Pelodiscus sinensis: one gene and its partner. The protein of the gene in region 1 binds, or shares a complex with, the protein of each later gene. Links are inferred from orthologs where the notes say so. Each region holds a gene or a part of one and is shown on either strand. Other genes may lie near its edges.

Region 1 (9,751 bases):
CACCCACCAGCCCACCCAGGGCACGCACCACACAACAGCGCTCTGTTACTGGCAGGGCCGCGCCGGCCGGTCTGCTCTCTAGCCCCAGGGCTGTTCCCCCAGCCCCCTGCTGCAGCCATGGCCGCTTGAACCGCTCTGGTCCAGCACCCTTGGGATGTGACCAGAGCCGGACCACGGACGGTCAATGCTGTCTAGCAGCATCACCAACGCCCCCACTGCTCCTGGGTTCTGAAACTTTATTGGACCGCGGGAAACTTGGCCCCACTCATAAGTGGCCATCTGGCTAATGCCCACTGTGCTGGATGAGGAGGTTGCCAGACTAGAGAGTGCCAGACCATGGAGGTTACTGGACCAGAGGGTCCCGGACGAGGGAGGTTGCCGGACCAGAGAGTGTCAGTCGAGAGAGGTTGCTGGACCAGAGAATGCCAGACCATGGAGGTTACTGGACCAGAGAGTGCCGGATGAGGGAGGTTGCTGGACCAGAGAGTGCCAGACCATGGAGGTTACTGGACCAGAGAGTGCCGGATGAGGGAGGTTGCCAGACCAGAGAGTGCCGGACGAGGGAGGTTGCTGGACCAGAGAGTGCCGGATGAGGGAGGTTGCCAGACCAGAGAGTGCCGGACGAGGGAGGTTGCTGGACCAGAGAGTGCCGGATGAGGGAGGTTGCTGGATCAGAGAGTGCCGAATGAAGGAGGTTGCTGGACCAGAGAGTGTTGGACGAGGGAAGTTGCCGGACCAGAGAATGCCGGACCATGGAGGTTACTGAACCAGAGAGTGCCGGATGAGGAAGGTTGCTGGACCAGAGAGTGACGGACCATGGAGGTTACTGGACCAGAGAGTGTCGGATGAGGGAGGTTGCTGGACCAGAGAGTGCCGGACCATGGAGGTTACTGGACCAGAGAGTGTCGGATGAGGGAGGTTGCTGGACCAGAGAGTGTCGGATGAGGGAGGTTGCCGGACCAGAGTGTGCCGGATCATGGAGGTTACTGGAGCAGAGAGTGTCGGATGAGGGAGGTTGCTGGACCAGAGAGTGCCGGATGAGGGAGGTTGCTGGACCAGAGAGTGCCGGATGAGGGAGGTTCAACCTGTAGTATGTGCCGGCTGGCTCGCCCTGGGGCTGTGTTCCTTTGTGTTACTGGAGCAGTGTGAAGCGCCCAGAATCGGGGTCTGTGAGGCCAGCGGTGTGTCGGTGCAGAGAAGCCGGACGAGTTTTCCCACACATGCCCCACAACACCCCTACTACGGATCCCCATGGAGTCTGTGCCAGGGGGCCCAGGCGAAAGGAAGCAAAGGTGGCTGGAGCTGGCTGTGCACCGCCTGGATCCTAGGCGGGCTGGAGGCTGCAGATGAGAGCAGCCCTGCGGGGGGGTTGGACGGGGGGGGGTCAGCCCAGGTCCTTTGGAGACTCACCCGCCCTCCCCTGCCTCCGAGGCGGGCTAAGTCGTGGGTGCGAGGGCGCCGTGCTGGCAAACGGACCGAGGACCGCACGGCGTGGGCTGGAATCCGCTCTTGGGCACCCCAAAGGGCCCAGCTGAGGCAGGGCGTGCTCTCGCCCGCACTAGAGCTGGGAGCCCGCCCGGCATTTGCGGGAGCCCGAGAGGCGCTGACCGAGCGGGGGATGGCTCGCGGCGCAGGCAGCCTGCAGGGGCAGCGGGCGGTCTGGGCTCCGGCCCTGCGAGACACTTTTGGGTGGGTGGCGCGGGCTGAGAAGCGTGCTCTCTCCCTGGGAGGCTCTTCCTGCCCGCCGAGCCGGCCCGTGGTCACGGACGAGGCCGTGGGCATTCTTTGTTGCCTTGTGTTTATTTACAAGGAACTTCTTAGCAACCCAGCATTTGCCTCGCCACCTGGGTCAGAGAGCGGCACCGCAGCTCCAGAGCACTCCCGTCCTGCAGGCTGGAGACGGATTGTTTGGGCTTTTGTTCCCTGTAATTAGAGGCTGGCAAATCACTCATCAGAAATATTTCCAGAGCTCTGCTCTCCACCCCCCCGAATGTGCTTCCGCTGTGGTTGGGCCTGTTTGCATTCGCACACGGATTTCCTGGCAGGAAGGGACACCGAGTCTCTGCAAACGCGGACTCGACAGTGCTGGATTCTGACAGCAAAGCTCGTCCGCGGCGGGAGGGGAGATGGTGCCACGGGATCCAACGGCGGCGCCGAGCCAAGCAGCCCTCGTTTGCATATTGAATGAGGACAAGGCGCCCGCGGACAGGCCGAGATCGGTTTGCAGGGCTTCGCCGCTGCACAGTTCTAAGCCACGCGCTCCCCTCTGACAATTCAAAAAGGGAAGAGAAGGCAAAAATCGAGGTGTTTGTGCCAGTTGATTCTCAGCCGGGGGCCGTGAGCAGATGCCAAGGGCCTGCATCCACCCCCAAGCACCCCCTAGGCCCCGCCGCGGGGCCATCAAGCCCCAGAAGGGACTGGATTCCGGTCAGTTAGAAAACGAGTGCCTTGCTAGAGTCTCCAACTCGGCCCCTGGGCAAGCGTGCCCAGGAGAGGGGGCGGACTCCCCAGAGATACTTTCCATGCTCTTCGGGCCAGAGATGGGCCCCAGCAGCCGCCGTTACGGCGTTAAACGTCGCAGCCCGCGGTCCGGAAAGCGATTTGTGCGAAATCAACGACCGGCCTGGGCACAGGAACTTGAGGTGCAGGGGTGCTACAGCACCCCTGGGCTCCTGGCCTAGTGCCCAGAGTCCACAGGCCGGTTACCTGCTGCCTCCTGCACGCCAGGGACCCTGCTGCCAGACCTGGGTGCTCGGGTCCCGGTTTGAACCCAGTGTACTGGGGGACTACTGCTGCTGGCCCCTTGCCTGGGGTCCTGGCTGCCAGCACCCCATGCCTGGCTGCTACCCCATGCCCAAGGGCCTTTGCTGCCTTGCTGCCTGCCTTGGGTGGGGGTGGGTGGAGCTGAGGGTGCTCAGCACCCCCACTTTTAAAATGGTTTGCACGCCACTGCCTCCAGGGGGTTCAGTTCTGAAAGACGAGCGCCCCGCGGTGGCCGGAGAACAGATAGTCGCTAGGCCTCAGTTACCAGGCTGAGGTCAGCGGTGCAGCCTCCAGAGCAGCGGTCCCCAACGCAGTGCCCGCGGGCGCCATGGCGCCTGCCGGGGCACTTATGTGCGCCCGCATAGTGATCAGGGCCGGTCCAAGCCTTTCTCGCGCCCCGGGCACATGGCGCATGCATGGTCCCCGCCCCAGGTACGTGGTGTATGCGCGGCGCCAGCCCTGGGCATGCTGCCCACGTGTGGCATCAGCCCCGCATGCACAGCACACTCGCAGCCCCGCCCCCGGGTGCACGGTGCACACACAGCCCCACGCCCGGGCACTTGGCAGCCCCAGAAGGTTGGGGGCCATTGCTCCAGAGCATGGATGCGCTGCCCTGCCATATAAAGGCTTCTGTCATTATTGATGATTCCGGCATGGGAAGGAGAGTCCGGAATCCCGGTGTAAGGCACAGCCGTTCGGACTGGGGTGTTAAGGACTAGTTAACTCTCCGAGAAGCGAATGCTGACTGGATAGTCAGTCGACTAGTCGGTGTTCCCCGCCCCCTGCCTCTATCAGACAGAGGCAGCAAAGGGGAGAAGACAAGGTATGGCACAGTGGCAGCGCCGCACAGCTGCGCCCGGGATCACTGCTGAGAGTGGAGCCAGGAGTCCCCAGCTGACCCTGGGCTCTGTGCGGCAGGCAGCGCAGCATGGAGCCCGGGGGCAGCGGAGGACTCGGAGCCCCCCCTGCTGTCTCCAGGCTCCATGCTGCACTGCCGCTTTGAAATGCACAAGAGCCCCCGCTGGGCTCCCGCTGGGGACTCTCGTACATTTCAAAGCTGGCACCTGCGTGCAGCCCGAGGTGAGGGGGCTTCCCGCCGGCCCCGGGTGCACATGGAGTGCCGCATGCCTCCTTTGAGATGTACAGGAGCCCCCACTGGGCCCTTGCTGGGCTCTCGTACATTTCAAAGGAGGGATGTGGAAGTGCCTAGCGACTAGTGGATGGAAATTCCTTCGACTAGCCAACGAACCGCTCGTTAACACCCTTCGTTCGGAGCAGGGCCGTCCGCAGCATTGCTTTCGAACCCCACCTCTCGGCCACTAACCTGACCAGCCCAGGTAGCCGGAGCAGGGGTATGACGTAGTGGGGGCTGTCCACTCTGTTTGGGCATGCACCGGGCGCTCGGCGTGGGCTGCGGGTGACCCCTACTGGCCTGCATCTGTGAGCACTGCCCAGTGGGGGGGCGCCCCGGCGCTCACGTCTTCTAGACCATGGCCCAACCGGTTCTCACCTGGGCAGGGAAGGGGTCTGAACGAAGGGAGGGGGCAGTTTGGAGAAGGGGCAGTCTTGGCTGGGAAAACACGAAGAGAAGAGACTGAGCCGAGTACTGGGGGTTCAGGGGCCTGTGGACCCGCCCCAAGGGGTCTAAGGCTACCTGGCCCTGACTCCTATATCCACGCCCCGCCTATGCTGCGCTGTGTCCTGGAGAAGCACTAACCCCTCTCTGTTCTGGCGGAGTCTCATCTTGCTGCAGATGGGGTGCAGGGTCAGGGGGTACCCGATGCGCCGTCACAAGGGGCTACAAGCTAGTGCTTGTTCTTGGTCGGGTGGAACACGTGAGCCGGTCTGGGGGCCCCTCACGGCTCCGGTGCCTCTCTTAGTGTAACGTGTAAAATGCTGCTGGAACCATCACGGACAAGTCCACCTCCCCCGCCTCCAAGATCGTTTCTGCAGCTCAGTAAGGATCCGGAGCCAAATTGGCCACTGAGGACATTCTAGCGGGCTCCTGGGAGCAAGAGCCAGGATGGGCTTGTGAGGCCCTTTCTCCCAGCACCTGCGCCGGCAAAAGGTTCCTGTTGTTATTCACAAGCCCAGAGATTTCCCCTCTGGCCAGCACAGTGGGGACACGCTCTCGGTCTCCAAAACCTGGGGGGAGATTTGGGGCTTACAGAGACGGGGAAGGTCCAAAGGGCCCAGCCCAGAACAATGTCCCCAAACCTCCCTTCTGCGCTACACGGAGCCATCCCAGCCTGCCCAGCTCCATCTTAACCCAGCACCGCCCACGGCCCCCCCGGAGTCCCTCCAGAGCCTCTGAGCAGCCCGCTGGGCCGCCCGTCTCTCCCTGTGGAATCAGCCCTTGCTTCCAGCCGCTGGGAGCTCAGCCTCAGGCCCCGGCAGGTTTTCGTTCAGCCCCAGCGCCTGGAGTCAGGTGCTGCATGAGAGCGTTCACCATCACCAAAGGAAGTTTCTAGTTGTCGGGTTTGTGGGGAAAGTGCGAGTCAGTGGTTCAAAATCCACAAGGCAACTAAGAAACCCCACGTGTGTTAAACCAGTCCTGACAGTCTATGGCTGGGGACTGAGGACATTGTAAGTGCAACCCGGCCTCCCCGCTCGCTGCACCCCAACCCCCCACAGAGAGCCCCCTGCTGCACCCCAACTCCCCACAGAGAACCCCCCGCTCGCTGCACCCCAACCCCCCACAGAGACCCCTGCTGCACCCCAACCCCCCACAGAGAGACCCCTGCTGCACCCCAACCCCCCACAGAGAGACCCCCGCTCGCTGCACCCCAACCCCCTACAGAGACCCCCGCTCGCTGCACCCCAACCCCCTACAGAGACCCCCGCTCGCTGCACCCCAACCCCCCACAGAGAGCCCCCTGCTGCACCCCAACCCCCCACAGAGAACCCCCCGCTCGCTGCACCCCAACCCCCCAGAGAGAGACCCCCGCTCGCTGCACCCCAACCCCCCACAGAGAGCCCCCTGCTGCACCCCAACCCCCCACAGAGAACCCCCCGCTCGCTGCACCCCAACCCCCCACAGAGAACCCCCCGCTCGCTGCACCCCAACCCCCCACAGAGAACCCCCCGCTCGCTGCACCCCAACCCCCCACAGAGAGACCCCCGCTCGCTGCACCCCAACCCCCTACATGGAGTCACTTTGCCCCGCCCCGCCCCGCCCACCAGAAGCGCCCAGACGGCCCCGCCCCGCCCCTGGCCCCGCCCCCGGCTCGGCCCCGCCCCGGCAGGGCTCGGCGCGGGGCGGGCGCGGGCGGGCGGCGGAGCAGAGCTGAGCGGCCCCGCCATGGGCTGCACCGTGAGCGCCGAGGACAAGGCGGCGGCCGAGCGCTCCAAGATGATCGACAAGAACCTGCGCGAGGACGGCGAGAAGGCGGCGCGGGAGGTCAAGCTGCTGCTGCTGGGTGAGCGCCCGCCCGGCCCCCCGCCTGGGGCCCCCCCCGCCCCGGCATCGCCCCCCCGCCCGGTGCCCCCCGCCCCGGCATCGCCCCCCCGCCTGGTGCCCCCCGCCCCGGCATCGCCCCCCCCCCGCCCGGCATCGCCCCCCCGCCTGGTACCCCCCCGCCCCGGCATCGCCCCCCCCGCCTAGTGCCCCCCCGCCCGGCCCCCCCCGCCCCGGCATCGCCCCCCCGCCTGGTGCCCCCCCGCCCGGCCCCCCCCGCCCCGGCATCGCCCCCCCCCGCCTAGTGCCCCCCCCGCCCCGGCATCGCCCCCCCGCCTGGTGCCCCCCCGCCCCGGCATCGCCCCCCCCGCCTAGTGCCCCCCCGCCCCGGCATCGCCCCCCCGCCTGGTACCCCCCCGCCCCGGCATCGCCCCCCCCCGCCTAGTGCCCCCCCGCCCCGGCATCGCCCCCCCGCCTGGTGCCCCCCCGCCCGGCCCCCCCGCCCGGTGCCCCCCGCCCGGCCCCCCCCGCCCCGGCATCGCCCCCCCGCCTGGTACCCCCCCCGCCCGGCCCCCCCCGCCCCGGCATCGCCCCCCCCGCCTAGTGCCCCCCCGCGCGGCCCCCCCCGCCCCGACATCGCCCCCCCGCCTGGTGCCCCCCCGCCCCAGCATCGCTCCCCCCCGCCTAGTGCCCCCCCGCCCGGCCCCCCCCCGCCCCGGCATCGCGCCCCCCCACCCGGCCCCCCTCCGCCCCGGCATCGCCCCCCCGCCTAGTACCCCCCCGCCCGGGCATCGCCCCCCCCGCCTAGTGCCCCCCCGCCCGGCCCCCCCCCCCGCCCCGGCATCACCCCCCCCCGCCTAGTGCCCCCCTGCTGGGCCCCCCCCCGCCCCGGCATCAGCCCCCCGCCTGGTACCCCCCCCGCCCCAGCATCGCCCCCCCCCGCCTGGTACCCCCCCGCCCCAGCATCGCCCCCCCCGCCTGGTGCCCCCTGCCCCGGCATCGCCCCCCCCGCCTAGTGCTCCCCCGCCCGGCCCCCCCGCCCCGGCATCGCCCCCCCGCCTGGTACCCCCCCGCCTAGTGCCCCCCCGCCCGGCCCCCCGCCTGGTACCCCCCCACCCCGGCATCACCCCCCCGCCCCAGCATCGCCCCCCCCACCTGGTGCCCCCCTGTCCCGGCATGGCCCCCCCCACCTGGTACCCCCCCGGCATGGCCCCCCCCGCCTGGTACCCCCCCTCCGGCATCGCCCCTCCCACCTGGTACCCCTCCGGCATCGCCCCTCCCACCTAGTACCCCCCAGCATCGCCCCCCGGCCCGGCATCGCCCCACCCGAACTCCCCCCCCCCGCATCGCCCCCCCCGCCTAGTAACCCCTCCCCCGGCATCAGCCCCTCGCCCCAGCATCGCCCCCCCCGCCTAGTACCCCTCCGGCTTCATCCCCCCCCTCCCGCCCCGGCATCGCCCCTCCCGCCTGCTACCCCCCCAGCCGGTGCCCCCCCTGCCTGATAACCCCTCCTGCCCCGGCATCGCCCCCCGCCCGCCCCCCCCCCCCCCGCCTGGTACCCACCCCGGCACACCCCCGCCTGGTACCCGCCCCGGCCTGGTACCTCCCCCCCACCCCGGCATCGTGACCCCCCCCCGCCCCGGCATTCCCCCGCCTGATAATCCCTCAGCCGGTGCCCCCCCTCCTGGTACCCCACCCGCCTGGTGCCCCCCAATCGGTACCCCCCCCCGTGCCCGCCCCGGCATCTCCTGCTTGGTGCCCCCCCCGTCCTCCCCGGCATCCCCCCGCCCGGTGCCCCTCCTCGCCCGTCCCGGGTGGTACCCCCCACCGCCCCAGAACCCCCTGCCAGATACCCCCCCCCCCCGGTGCCCTCCACCTGGTACCCCCCCCACCCCGGCAGCCCCTGGCCGCCCTGCCTGGTACCCCGCTCCCCAGCATCCGCCCCGCCCAGTACCCCTCCCTCCAGTCCGGTACCCCCCCGCCCCAGCATCCCCCCCTGCCTGGCATCCCCCCTGCCCAGTACCCCTTCTTCCAGTCTGGTACACCCCCTCCCGGCATCCCCCCTGCCCGGTACCCCACCCCGGCATCCCCCCCCCCGCCCAGTACCACCCCCTCCGTTTGCCCTGGCATCCCTTCCCGCCCCTCCTCCAGACCGGTACCCCCCCTCCTTGTCTGCCCCGGCATTCCTCCTCCCCTTTCCCAGTCTGGTACGCTCCCTGCCCCTTCCCCAGTCCGGTACCCCATCTCCCCAGCATCACCCCCCTCCCCGGGTCCAGTACCCCCCCATCTGCCCCTCCCCCAGTCCAGTATCTGCCCCAGCATCCCTTGCCCTGGTATCCCTCCCCAAGTCCGGTAACCACTCCCCCCCCTCCGGTCCAGTATCCCTCCCACGCCTGGCCTGGCATCCCTCTGCCAGGTACGGTATGGCTCTGCCCAGTCCAGTCCGCCTGCCATCCCCGCACCCCGTCCGGTCTGCCCTGCTCCACCATCCCCCACCTGCTCCAGCCTGGTATCCCCACACCGTCTGGTCTGCCATCTCTCTCCAGCCCCCCACCCTGCCACCCCCCTCCCTGCCTGGCCTAGGTGAGCCCTGCACCCTGGCTGCGCCGCCTGGCTTCTAGCACCCTCCAAGATGAACCCCCCAGCCCAGCCTCTCCCGAGTTCCCTGCCTGACTGGGGTACATCCCAGCATCCCCAAGGCTCCCAGAGACCTGCCCCCCAACACTCAAGTGCTCCAGCCCACCCAGTCACCCTGTGAGAGCCTGCACCCCTCAGGACCCCCAAATGCCCCCCTGCACCTGCTCCCCAGGCAGGCCCCCCTAGAGACAGACTGCCCCAGGCACACCCGCCAGATACAGCTCCGGCCTCCACCCCACATGTGGCAGCCCCCACATGCCATGGGCCCCCCAGCTCCTCTTCGATGGAGTCCTGGACCTCAGCCCTGCGTGTACCCCACCCCCCTTTCCTCTCCCTGCTCCCCCACTGCCCTCCCCTGCCTGGTAAATTACCAGTTCCCATCCCACCCCTGCTCTGCTGCTCCCTGTCTCCCCCAGACAGCCAAAGAACCCCCCCAGCTGCCCTATCCCTCTAGGAAGGCAGCTCCTCCCCCCCAGCTGCCCCTCCCTCCCAGAGATCCCCCATTCCCATAGCCCTACCCATCCAAGCCATCTCCCTCTCTGAAGGCTGGTCTGCACTCCAGCCCCCCTGCCTCTCCAGCCGGGCACCCTCCTGGTGTTTTCCAGCCCCCTGCCCAAGTGACTGCTGGGGGAGGGTACCCATTTGGGGGGGGGGGGGAGTTGGTGGAGTTAGGGAACTCCTCAGCTGTGGGGGGGGGGGGTCGGAAAGACGGTCTCCCAGCCCACTTTGGGGAGGGCGCTGCGCTCGGTGTGGTGAGCCCCTGTGTGAGCCGTGAGCTCAGCGGGGGGGCGGGGACACACGGCTTGTTGTTGATTCTTGGTTCCCCTTTTTCTGAAACTCTTGGCACGCGGACTGCGCCCGGATAGTGCCCTGCGCCCCCAGGGCGCCCAGAGAGCGGGGGGGCTTGTGTCTGTAGCCCTGTGTGCTGCTCTCCGCCTGCACCCGGTAGCGTCA
Region 2 (9,915 bases), on another chromosome or scaffold:
GAAAGTGACATGCACAACAGTGATATGCTGTACAAGTAAACGTTCTTTGGTGTTAGAGTAGACTTTTCCTCTCACATTATAAATATGAAATTATTACCTTGATATTAAACACATAACTGGCTGGCAGTGTATTCCATGGTAGGAGGACACTGTACTGGGAGTGAGGCGATCTGTATTTTTCTAGATCTGCTGTTGTGTAACATTTGTGCAAATCATGTAACTTATATATGCTTCAGTTTCCCTACCTTTAAATGGGCTGTCAATACTTAACTAATCTTATGCAATCCTTGAAGATCTATAGATCAGACACTATAAAAGAGTTTGTTAGCTATTGTACTTTTATTTTTTCTTAATTGGAAAACATTTTCCAATTATTTTTAAAATGTGCTGTTTTTTTTCAAAATAGCAAATCCAGAACATCTTAGTCCAGAATGTCTTATTTAATATGGTTTAAATGGCTATTTTAATCTAAAGCACTTCTCTATCTTATGTGACAGTTGTCTAGGCACAAGAACATTTCTACAGCTCAGAACAATCCTTTGTGCTTTTGTATTGTTTGAACACTTTTTTTCTTTATTTTTAGCATGTTATTGTGTGATGTTTCTATTGCTTTTCTCATTTATGATTGTTGGAAATGTTTTGTGTAGCTTAATTTGGAAAAGGACACTCAATATTTGTCTTCTACTTTAGCTGTTAAATGAACTGAGTGTTGTGGAAGCAGAACTACTGTTGAAGTCATCCAGCCTGGCAGGAAGTTACACAACAGGATTATGTGTGTGCATTGTTGCAGTTTTGCGGCGTTACCATGCCTGCCTAATTCTAAATCCAGAGCAGACTGCCCAAGTTTTTGAAGGGTTTGTAGCCGCTGTATTTTTTCTATGTTTATTGCATAATTAAAATTGTATTATACTTCAGCGGGTAGCCAACTTAGTCTATACAGGTAAACTGAAAAAACAACAAATAGTCTGGTAGCACGTAATAGACTAACAAAATACGTAGATGGTATCATGAGCTTTCGTGAGCACAGCCCACTTTCTGTGCCCACGAAAGCTCATGATACCATCTACATGTTTTCTTGTATTGTACTGGCATTTGAGCTATTAAAATATGTGTCAGCTGTATACACTGAATTGCTATAAATTGCTCAGGAAAAGTTTAAACTATCACAAAAAATAAAATGTGAGTGTTTTTGTTTAGTTTAAACTTAAGTGATTGAGGAATTGACTTAAGCTAACTTGATAAAACACTATAAGAAAGATTTTACATCAGTTTCCATTAAAAATTATTTACACACAGTGCAATAGTTTCTCTTCAGATTTTTGAACTGATTTAAATAAGCTGGTTTTAAATATTCATTGAGATTTGCAGTATTTATCTGTCCTATTAGATATATGCCTGAGAGTAGTTTATAGAATATTTTACTCAAAAGTAGTGTAACAGTTTGCTGTTGTTGTTTTTCCCCTTTGGGTTAAAGTTAATCCCAAGTGCTCCACTGGGTTGGGCATTATACAAACCTCATATAGGACAGTCCTTACCTCAAAAGCTTACAGTGTATAAATGACAGGTGGTGTAGAACACACTGACTTCTTAAGTGTGGCAGTAAGGGTGTACAGTAGGTAATGATTCAGTATAAAATCATTGATGCAAAGAATACTGTGACCTTCCTTCCTCAACAGTGCCTTATAGACAATCACGGTAGAGCCAGATAAACTGGGAAATGTTTGCTTCCATGTACTATTACAGAGATACTAGATGAAAACTGAATTCCATTGGAGCAAAGCCAAATTAAAGTGTGAAATGTTTAGTCCTTTGTGCACAGTGAACTTGTGATGTGCTAGGTTAGCAACTGTTGCACGTTTTTATATCATCGTCTTTAGGGTACAAGGCACCCTCTAATCTTTTCTATCCATGTGCAGATTTTTTCTGTCCATGTGCAAAATAAATGTTTATGCGCCCGAGGAATGTGCAGATTGACCACTACCAGTAGAAACAAAACATAGCTGTGGGTGCTCTGCTAATCAGCTGGGCATCATTGGAGTCTCTCCTTAGCAGTCTCAGAAGTACACACCTTGCAGGGAGCACTGGTGCCAGGCTGTAAAACTTTGATCTGTTTTCCATGGCCCAGATTATGCATTGAGCTCTGTTTGGGCACATCTCTGTGGCCTGTATGGAGCCCTCTTGAAGTCAGTGTGACTCCCCTTGTACGTAATTTGCTGCAGGATTGTGTCCCATATGTGTAAAATACTCTGAACGCTTTACTATTTTCATCTGAAAATTTGAAAATTTGCTTCCAATGAAACCCTTTATACCTATAAAAATGGCATCCATTTTGACTTTTATATGGACATAGACCATCTTCTAATTCTTGGCATGGGTATGCTAGTTTTATAATGTTAAAACGCATAATTAGATTTTAGGGAGACCAGGTGGGTGAGGTAATATCTTTTATTGGATGGAATTCTTTTGGTGAGAGGGGGCAAGTTTTTGAGTTTATGCAGAGATCTTCTTCTGGTCTGGGAAAAGTACTCACAGTTGAGTGCAAGGTGGAACAGGTTGTTAAGACAAGAAATTAACATGTTGCAAGAGATCATTCCAAGTGAAATGAACAGTTAATACATTTTCAAAAGTCTGAGTTGGGAATTAATCTCTGATTTTTTTTCCCAGATTATGTGGTGTTGTCAAGCATGTTGTTAATCCATCAGAGTGTTCTTCCCCTGAAAGATGCATTTTAGCTTACCTCTATGATCTCTATGTATCATGCAGTCACCTACGAAGCAAATTTGGGGACCTTTTCAGGTTAGTAGCACAAAGCTGTTACAAACTAAAATTACTAAAAAGCTGACTCCCGCCTTTCTGTGTTATATTAATTATCTTTCAGTTCAGTTTATCTGCTCTTGCAAACACATCTTTTCTACTTTCTGGTTTTCCTTTTCCTTACTTGGGAACCATTTTGCCTACAAAAGACTGTTTCAACTTGAAAGCCCTAGTCTTGATACTGTTTGAGTGCTGAACACAGCAGGCATACTTCTGTGTCCACTGACACTCCACTGAAGTCCTGAGGCTCCACAGGTCCACCTGCATGGAGCTTAGTGCAGGAAGGACCCAGGTGGAGAAGTGTGCCTGTGCTCATACACAATGCTAGCAAAGTCGTTTAATTCCCTTCATTGCAGTTCAGTTTTGATTAATGTAAGATACTCTTTAATATACTTGTAAATTAACAGTAATAGCTACACCAGCATTGAAGAGAATGAATTCTGCAGTACTCTGCTCACTAAATCTTTCATTAGATATAGGTAGAGGGACAACAAAAAGTGTGTAGTTTGAGATGCTACATTGCCAAAGTTTCAATTTCTTGTTCTGGATTGGAATCTTACTGTAGAGACCTCAAAAGTCAGAATTTGTGGCTGTTCTGAAAAAGAACTTTTATCTGTTTGCTTGTTTATTGTGAAAGTTACAAGCCAGCTTAGTCACAATTATTTTTTCATTTATCCTTGTGGTTTTGATCTGCATGTTTCATGTTTGAGGTTTGTATTGCATAGGTATCTGTGAGAGTTCTCAGTAAGAGAACTTGCAGATATTGTAAATGGATTTTATAAATGCACATGAACAGTGTTTCTCCAATGTTTCTTAGTAAAAAATTATCAAATATACGGTAGCTTCTTAACTATAGATGGTTTAACTGTAAAATAACTGTACATTTATTCTACTGCTAACCCCATCCTCATATTTTTCAACTACAAAAGTTACAGCTTAATAGAAAATATAAAATAGCAACAACCATCCCTCAAAACAAACACAAAATAAAATCCCCACAAACAAAAATATATTTTATTGGTGTTCTATAATATTTTAAAATGGCATGGTAATAACATGAGAGTTCTAACTGCATTTGTACCCAGCACTTTTATAACAGGTTTCCTGTCCAGGGTAATTAGAAATGGCTGATTTAAAATACAAATCCTCTGAAAACAGGTAATTATAAGGAAATACAGGGATTCCTTCACTGTAGCAGGGTGCATATGTTACTAGCAGAATACTAGTTTATTCTATGGAGCTGCCTTACCATGTATAGTGCACAATATAGTTAACTATTCCCAATCATTCCTTTAGCTGCTTTCTATGACACTGCAGGTCCCATTGGTTCCCTTTTGTAGTAAATTTCAAAATAAATTACAATGCCTCATTTAAGTAAGCATTCACTTTATGCTCAATTCTTACCTTCTGTTGACTTTAGGTTTTAAAGGGGGTTTCTCTGGCATCATCCTGAACAAGCTTGCTGAGGCTTTCAGCCAGTTTTGCATGCTAATGTTCACTGTACTTCCTTTTTTTCAACTGTCTCTTCACATTTTTTTATGTTTCTGATCATCTGACCACTCCTTCAGCATAACACGTCAGAAACTCAGTTTGCCAATCCACTCTCTTAAGATATGGCTAGTACTGTGACCATTAGAAAAGAAGAATAATCCAGTTTTGTGTTCCAATCCGTAGAATAGATTTTGTATAAAAAGTACCTAAGTCCCATTTTCAAAGCACCCTAGAGGAAAGGACATTTGTATCTCAATAGGATTTAGGCTCCTGAGTGGCGTCTGGTGTTTTGAAAGTACAATGCGAGTCTCTAATTGACTGGTTATGGCCTTCTGCTGCATTGTATGTGTACCATGTTGCTTTTCAGGAAGCGAATGTATTCCATAAGCCTGTTTTACATATATTAGCTAGGTTTGAGGTGACACTGACATTTGTTAGATTATGGTCAGATTGTAACTGGGGGGTTGAAGTGTAATGAACTTTTCCCCTTCTTCCCGCACCACTTGTGAAAGGGCCAACCACTGTGTGTCTAGTGAGTGAATTCACTGCTATATGCTGCAATTCCACCAGTACCGACTTATTGCGGGGGCGGGCAGTGTGAGGTGTGGGCCATGTCCAGATGCTTCAAAGGAAATGAACAGAAAACGACAACTATCAAGTGATCCAGCCTCTGTCATCCAGTCCATCGTAGACTCTTTCTAGACTGACAGTTTCTGACAGTCAGAAGCATAGGGAGACCTAGAGCATGGGTTTGCATCCCTGACCATCTTTGCTAACAGCCATTGATGGACTTTTCCACCATGAGCTTATCTAATTCTTTTTTTTAAACCCAGTTATAGTTTTGACCTTCACAACATCCCTGGCATTGAGTTCCACAAGTTGACTGTACATTGTGTGAAGAAATACTTCCTTATATTTGTTTTAAACTTGTTGCCTATCAATTTCATTGGGTTGACCCTTGGTTCTTATTTGATGTAAATGGATAAATATGTTGTGCTTTAACTGCACAGGATATTTTCTTATTTTTTAGCCTCTTATTGATCCATGATAGGACTTTCCCTCTTATCCCATTACTGCTTAGTTGGCTTAAGAGCTTTTGATGAGGGACTTTTTCAAGGTATTCTGTAACTTCAGGCTTGATTATTTTTATTTTTTTGTATTTTTTAAAAAGAAGACAAATGTTGCTACCCTCATCCTTTCTCTTTATTGATTGTCCTATGATTAGAGAATACTTTGAATAATGTGCTTGTGTGATATGATAGGTCTGGATTTCCTTATGTGTATCCCATTTATACTAATGGAGATGACAACAAGTGATGAACCAAAAGACTAATGAAGCTTGTCTCTGTAATATACAATTGAACACCATAGCCATGTGGAGCAATGGCCATTTAAATTCTTTCTGGTTGTGGAAGAGGTAATGAGAAAAAAGGCAAAAATTCAGAAACAATTGTTACTGATGGCCTCTTGTTCCTATAATTTCTAGTAGTGGCCTGACTCTCTCAGTGCATCTGTGTTCCCTCTCCCGCGCCTCGCCAGCGTTTTGGAAACCGCTCCTGGGGAGGTGCAGTTTGTTTGCACCGAGGCCTGGTCTATGCTTAGAAATTAGGTGAGAATGCACCTCTGGCACTCAGGGTTGTGACAAATTCACACAGAAAAACTCTAGGCAGTGTCAAAGCTGTGGCGCTACTAGCAGAGCAGCCATGACTCTACTATGCCACAGTAGCACACACAGTATATACAGCTTGGATCTTCCTGATCTGGCACCCTCGGGAACTGACCGGTTCTGAATGAGAGAATTTTCCAGGCCAAGGTAGGTTCCCCTGCTGCTGGCTTTTTAATCCTCCACTGGCTCAGTTTCTAGCCCTGTCCGGTTATGCTGCTGAAGGCTCCAGCTGGGCTGCCTGCTGACGGTCTCAGCTCTGAGGGCTGCTGTGCAGCCCTGGCCCAGCTCCTCTGCCGGGCTGCTGCCCCCCCCCTTGTCCCTGCCAGGCTGCCACAGCCCGGTCTCCCTGTCACACCGTTGTAGCTCTGGATCCAGCTCCCTTGCTGGGCTGGTGCATGACCCTGGCTTTGGCTCCAGCTCTCTGGCATGTGCAGCTCTGGCCCCCCACCAGGGTGCCATGTGGCCATGGCTCCCCAGTTTGCGTGGCCTCCCTGCCAGGTTACCATGGGCCCCATCTCCCTTGCTGGGCTGCTGTGCAGTCCCAGACCTGGCTCTCCTGCCAGTCCTCCTACTCATGATGCCTTGGCTCCCCTGCCAGGCTGCTGCTAGCCCTGCCAGACCATAGATGTTGCCAGATCAGAGAGTCCTGGTTCAGGGAGGTGCAACCTGTATTAGGTCTTTCCACTTCTCTTCCGCAATCAGAAACTCATCTTCCCTAGTTTTGAGAATGGACTAAGGATGATAAGGACTAGTTGACTATCTGATAAGCAAATGCTTGTCAGATAGTCGAGTCTACTAGTCGATCTCCCCTCTCCCCCCCCCCCCCCCCCCGCTGCCTCTATCAAATAGAAGCAGCAAGGGCGGGGGGGGGGGGGAAATGGGGTACTTAAAGCAGCAGCACCAGATGGAGCCTGTATTGAGTTCCCTACAGTGCTGCCACTATGGGGTAGCACCACACAACAGATCCTGGGATCAGCTGCCATTTCCATTTCAAAGGAGGAATGTGGAAGTGCCTATCCTCTAGTTGAGTAGTTGATGAAAATTCCATTGACTACTCAACTAGTAAATTACTCAATACTTAATATCCTCAGAGTGGACCACGGTGAAAATCCCAAGAAGAAGTTATTACCTAAAATATATTAAATGAAAACAAGTTTGTTAGAAAATGGAATTTGAAATTAAATTGGAGCTAAACAGTACTAAATTTGACCACAGTACTAAACTAGACCTAGCTTCTGGTAAGCAAAGAAACTTTTATTTGCAGGAGAAATTAAATGCTCTCATCATGAGAAAATTCCTGCCTCTGATGTTAAGCCTTCACTGCAGAGTTAACATGGGTAGTTGTCTTGGTTAGCCTAGCCTGGAGGAAGAGCTACACTGCAACACCACACCTACATTACTGTGTCCTCACTGGTGCTGCACTCACCTATGTGAGTGACTTCTGGTGGCATGTCCCATAGCTCTCTCTGCTGCTTCAGTAAGCTAAGCCACTCTGTGATTTTTTTCAGTGAATTATGAAACAACGCATCTGTCCTTCTGGGGTTGTGGAGGAATTATGGGAAGGCATTGGAGGACTTCAGTAGTTTAGATACATCCTCACTGAAAGTGAGTAGGGTTCCAGGCTGTATAATAACCTCACTCAGCCTTTAGCATGAAACAAGCCGGCTAATCTGAGAAAACCTGACCCCAAGTTTAGTGTTTTCATCTCTGTACAGGACAAGGGTTGAGGGCAATATGCCAATTAGAGCCTGAGTTAACTTTGAATTGAAGACTTACTGTGAAGGATTTGATCCCAGTGTCTGAGCTCCATTTCACAGAATCATAGACCTTGAAGGGACCTCAAGAGGTCATCAAGTCCATTCCCCTGCACCCATGGCAGGACCAAGCATCAATTTCCCTGGGGATCACATCCATTTCTGACCCACGAATACTTCTGATCTGATCTGATAGCTTCTTCCCCAACTTGTATTAGAGTTTACTTTCTTTGTAATTTCTCCAGAGTTACACATATCTAGTTAGATCAGTGCAACCCCTCTGTAGACTTTCTGTAAGCAACTTAAGTGTTTTATATCAAATCAGATTCCACTAAATTGACATAAGGAACTCTTAAGATGATTTCTGAATTTTGTTAATCTTACTGATGTAAATAGGGCCTTAACTATGGAGTCAGAGCCAGCATCTCATTAATTAATGTAAATGTTCTTTGGGATCTTTGCATATGTTCTTATCTGCTTTCTAGGAACAATAGCTTTTCTCCTGCTGAAGGAGGTCCACTAACATGTTAATACCCTGAGCCTATACTGCCTCTCTTTTGTGTGTATTGGTAATGTCACAAAAGCATGACATTCTCATATTCTCTTTCTGTTTATTGATAGTGACCGTCAAGAAATCAAAGATGATATCCAGTTCATTGTAACAATAATTAAAAAGCTATTATCAAACCTATCTTTCTAGGTTGCTGAGGTTTTTTTTATTTTTAAAAATTGTCAAATTCTGAAATTTTACACCCGCACACACTCCAGTTAACTCAGTAAGTTGTGAATGCAAAGAAGCAGCATTAGTGTATATTTATAAGGCTATGTTATGCTGTGTTGAAATCATTACCAGAAAAAGGTTTGATCTGATTGATCTGTCTGCTCAAGCTTTAAATAAACATATCACAAAGCTGGTATAAAAACTTGTGAGTTGATGTTATTGCTTCAGGAAAACTTAATCAAATTTTCAGAAATGGTGTCCAGAAGAGCAATCTCAGTTGTGCACTGCAGTGCCTCCAAAGAGAATAAGATAGACTTTATGGCTACGTCTACACTGGCCCCAAATTCCGGAAAAGGGATGCAAAGCAGTTAAGTCAGAATAGGGAAATCCGCGGGGGATTTAAATATCCCCCGCGGATTTAAATAAACATGTCCGCCGCTTTTTTTCCGGCTCGGGGAAAAGCCGGAAAAAAGCATCTAGGCTGGTGCGATCCTCCGGAATAAAGCCCTTTTCCGGAGGATCTCTTATTCCTACTTTATTCCGGAGGATCGCTCCAGTCTAGACGCTTTTTTCCGGCTTTTCCCCGAGCCGGGAAAAAAGCGGCGGACATGTTTATTTAAATCCGCGGGGGATATTTAAATCCCCCGCGGATTTCCCTATTCTGACTTACCTGCTTTGCATCCCTTTTCCGGAATTTGGGGCCAGTGTTGACATAGCCAATGGGATTTAACAGTTATTAGATGAACTCTTTGAGTAATACTTAGTGGCAATCTTGTTTTAATCTGTATCAATATTTCAACAATTCAAGCCATGTGAACAATGTTTTTTTCTCTCCTGTTTTTAACCCTTAGTAGTGCTTGTTCAAAGGTAAAGCAAACCATATACAGCAATGTACAGCCCTCAAACTCCAACTTGTTATGGGATCCCGAGTTCATGTTGGATTTTATCGAGAATCCCTCTGCTCATAGCATCAACTACTCGATACTAGGCAAGATCCTGAGTGACAATGCAGCCAATCGCTACAGCTTTGTTTGTAATGCACTCATGAATGTATGTATGGGGCACCAAGATGCACTAAGGTAAGAGAAATTGATTCAGATATAGAACTATAGAAGTAATTGAAATAAGGGTTAGTGCTTCAGTGAAATGAAGTATCTGGGATATTATTAGAACTAATTGGGGCTGTTTATGTGCATGTTGTCCTTCCTTCCCCTTTTTTCCTCTCCCTTTGTATTCTTTTGGTTTATCTTCATTGACAGATTTCCTGGGTTGTTTTTTTCCCGATTCAGAGTTGTACAATTCTTTAGAATAGGTTTCACCAAGACTGCATCAGACTGGTTTGCATAACATTACGAGGATTAATAATAGGTGTAGGCTTCTTTGCATCACCAAATAATATAAATAGCAGCCTATATGTAAAATTACAAGAAAAGTTTTGTAAGACACAAGGTACAATTATTAGCTTCCTA

Evidence for each region.
Region 2: the proteins of GNAI2 (region 1) and P2RY12 are in contact, whole or in part, in a cryo-EM structure (PDB 7XXI), measured with the Homo sapiens proteins. The link is inferred for Pelodiscus sinensis from reciprocal best matches to the Homo sapiens genes GNAI2 and P2RY12. Residues at the interface, in NP_002061.1 of Homo sapiens: Arg24, Glu28, Ala31, Arg32, Leu195, Glu319, Ile320, Tyr321, Phe335, Phe337, Asp338, Ala339, Thr341, Asp342, Ile344, Ile345, Lys346, Asn348, Leu349, Lys350, Asp351, Cys352, Gly353, Leu354, Phe355; in NP_073625.1 of Homo sapiens: Phe59, Asp121, Arg122, Lys125, Thr126, Pro129, Phe130, Thr132, Asn134, Pro135, Ile212, Leu216, Ser219, Tyr220, Arg222, Thr223, Arg224, Val234, Lys237, Ile241, Leu301, Cys302, Lys303.

What each region holds. Positions count from the first base shown.
Region 1 is NC_134721.1:45,345,864-45,355,614, forward strand, and holds the start of GNAI2 (guanine nucleotide-binding protein G(i) subunit alpha-2), read left to right. Parts: upstream 1-6,003; 5' UTR 6,004-6,064; coding exon 6,065-6,182; intron 6,183-9,751. UniProt on the Homo sapiens protein: Guanine nucleotide-binding proteins (G proteins) are involved as modulators or transducers in various transmembrane signaling systems.
Region 2 is NC_134720.1:27,021,421-27,031,335, forward strand, and holds the start of P2RY12 (P2Y purinoceptor 12), read right to left. Parts: upstream 4,354-9,915; 5' UTR 4,219-4,353; intron 2,797-4,218; coding exon of another isoform or gene 2,665-2,796; intron 855-2,664; coding exon of another isoform or gene 691-854; intron 1-690. Other genes in the region: MED12L (mediator of RNA polymerase II transcription subunit 12-like protein), read left to right, coding at 691-854, 2,665-2,796, 9,298-9,525. UniProt on the Homo sapiens protein: Receptor for ADP and ATP coupled to G-proteins that inhibit the adenylyl cyclase second messenger system. Not activated by UDP and UTP. Required for normal platelet aggregation and blood coagulation.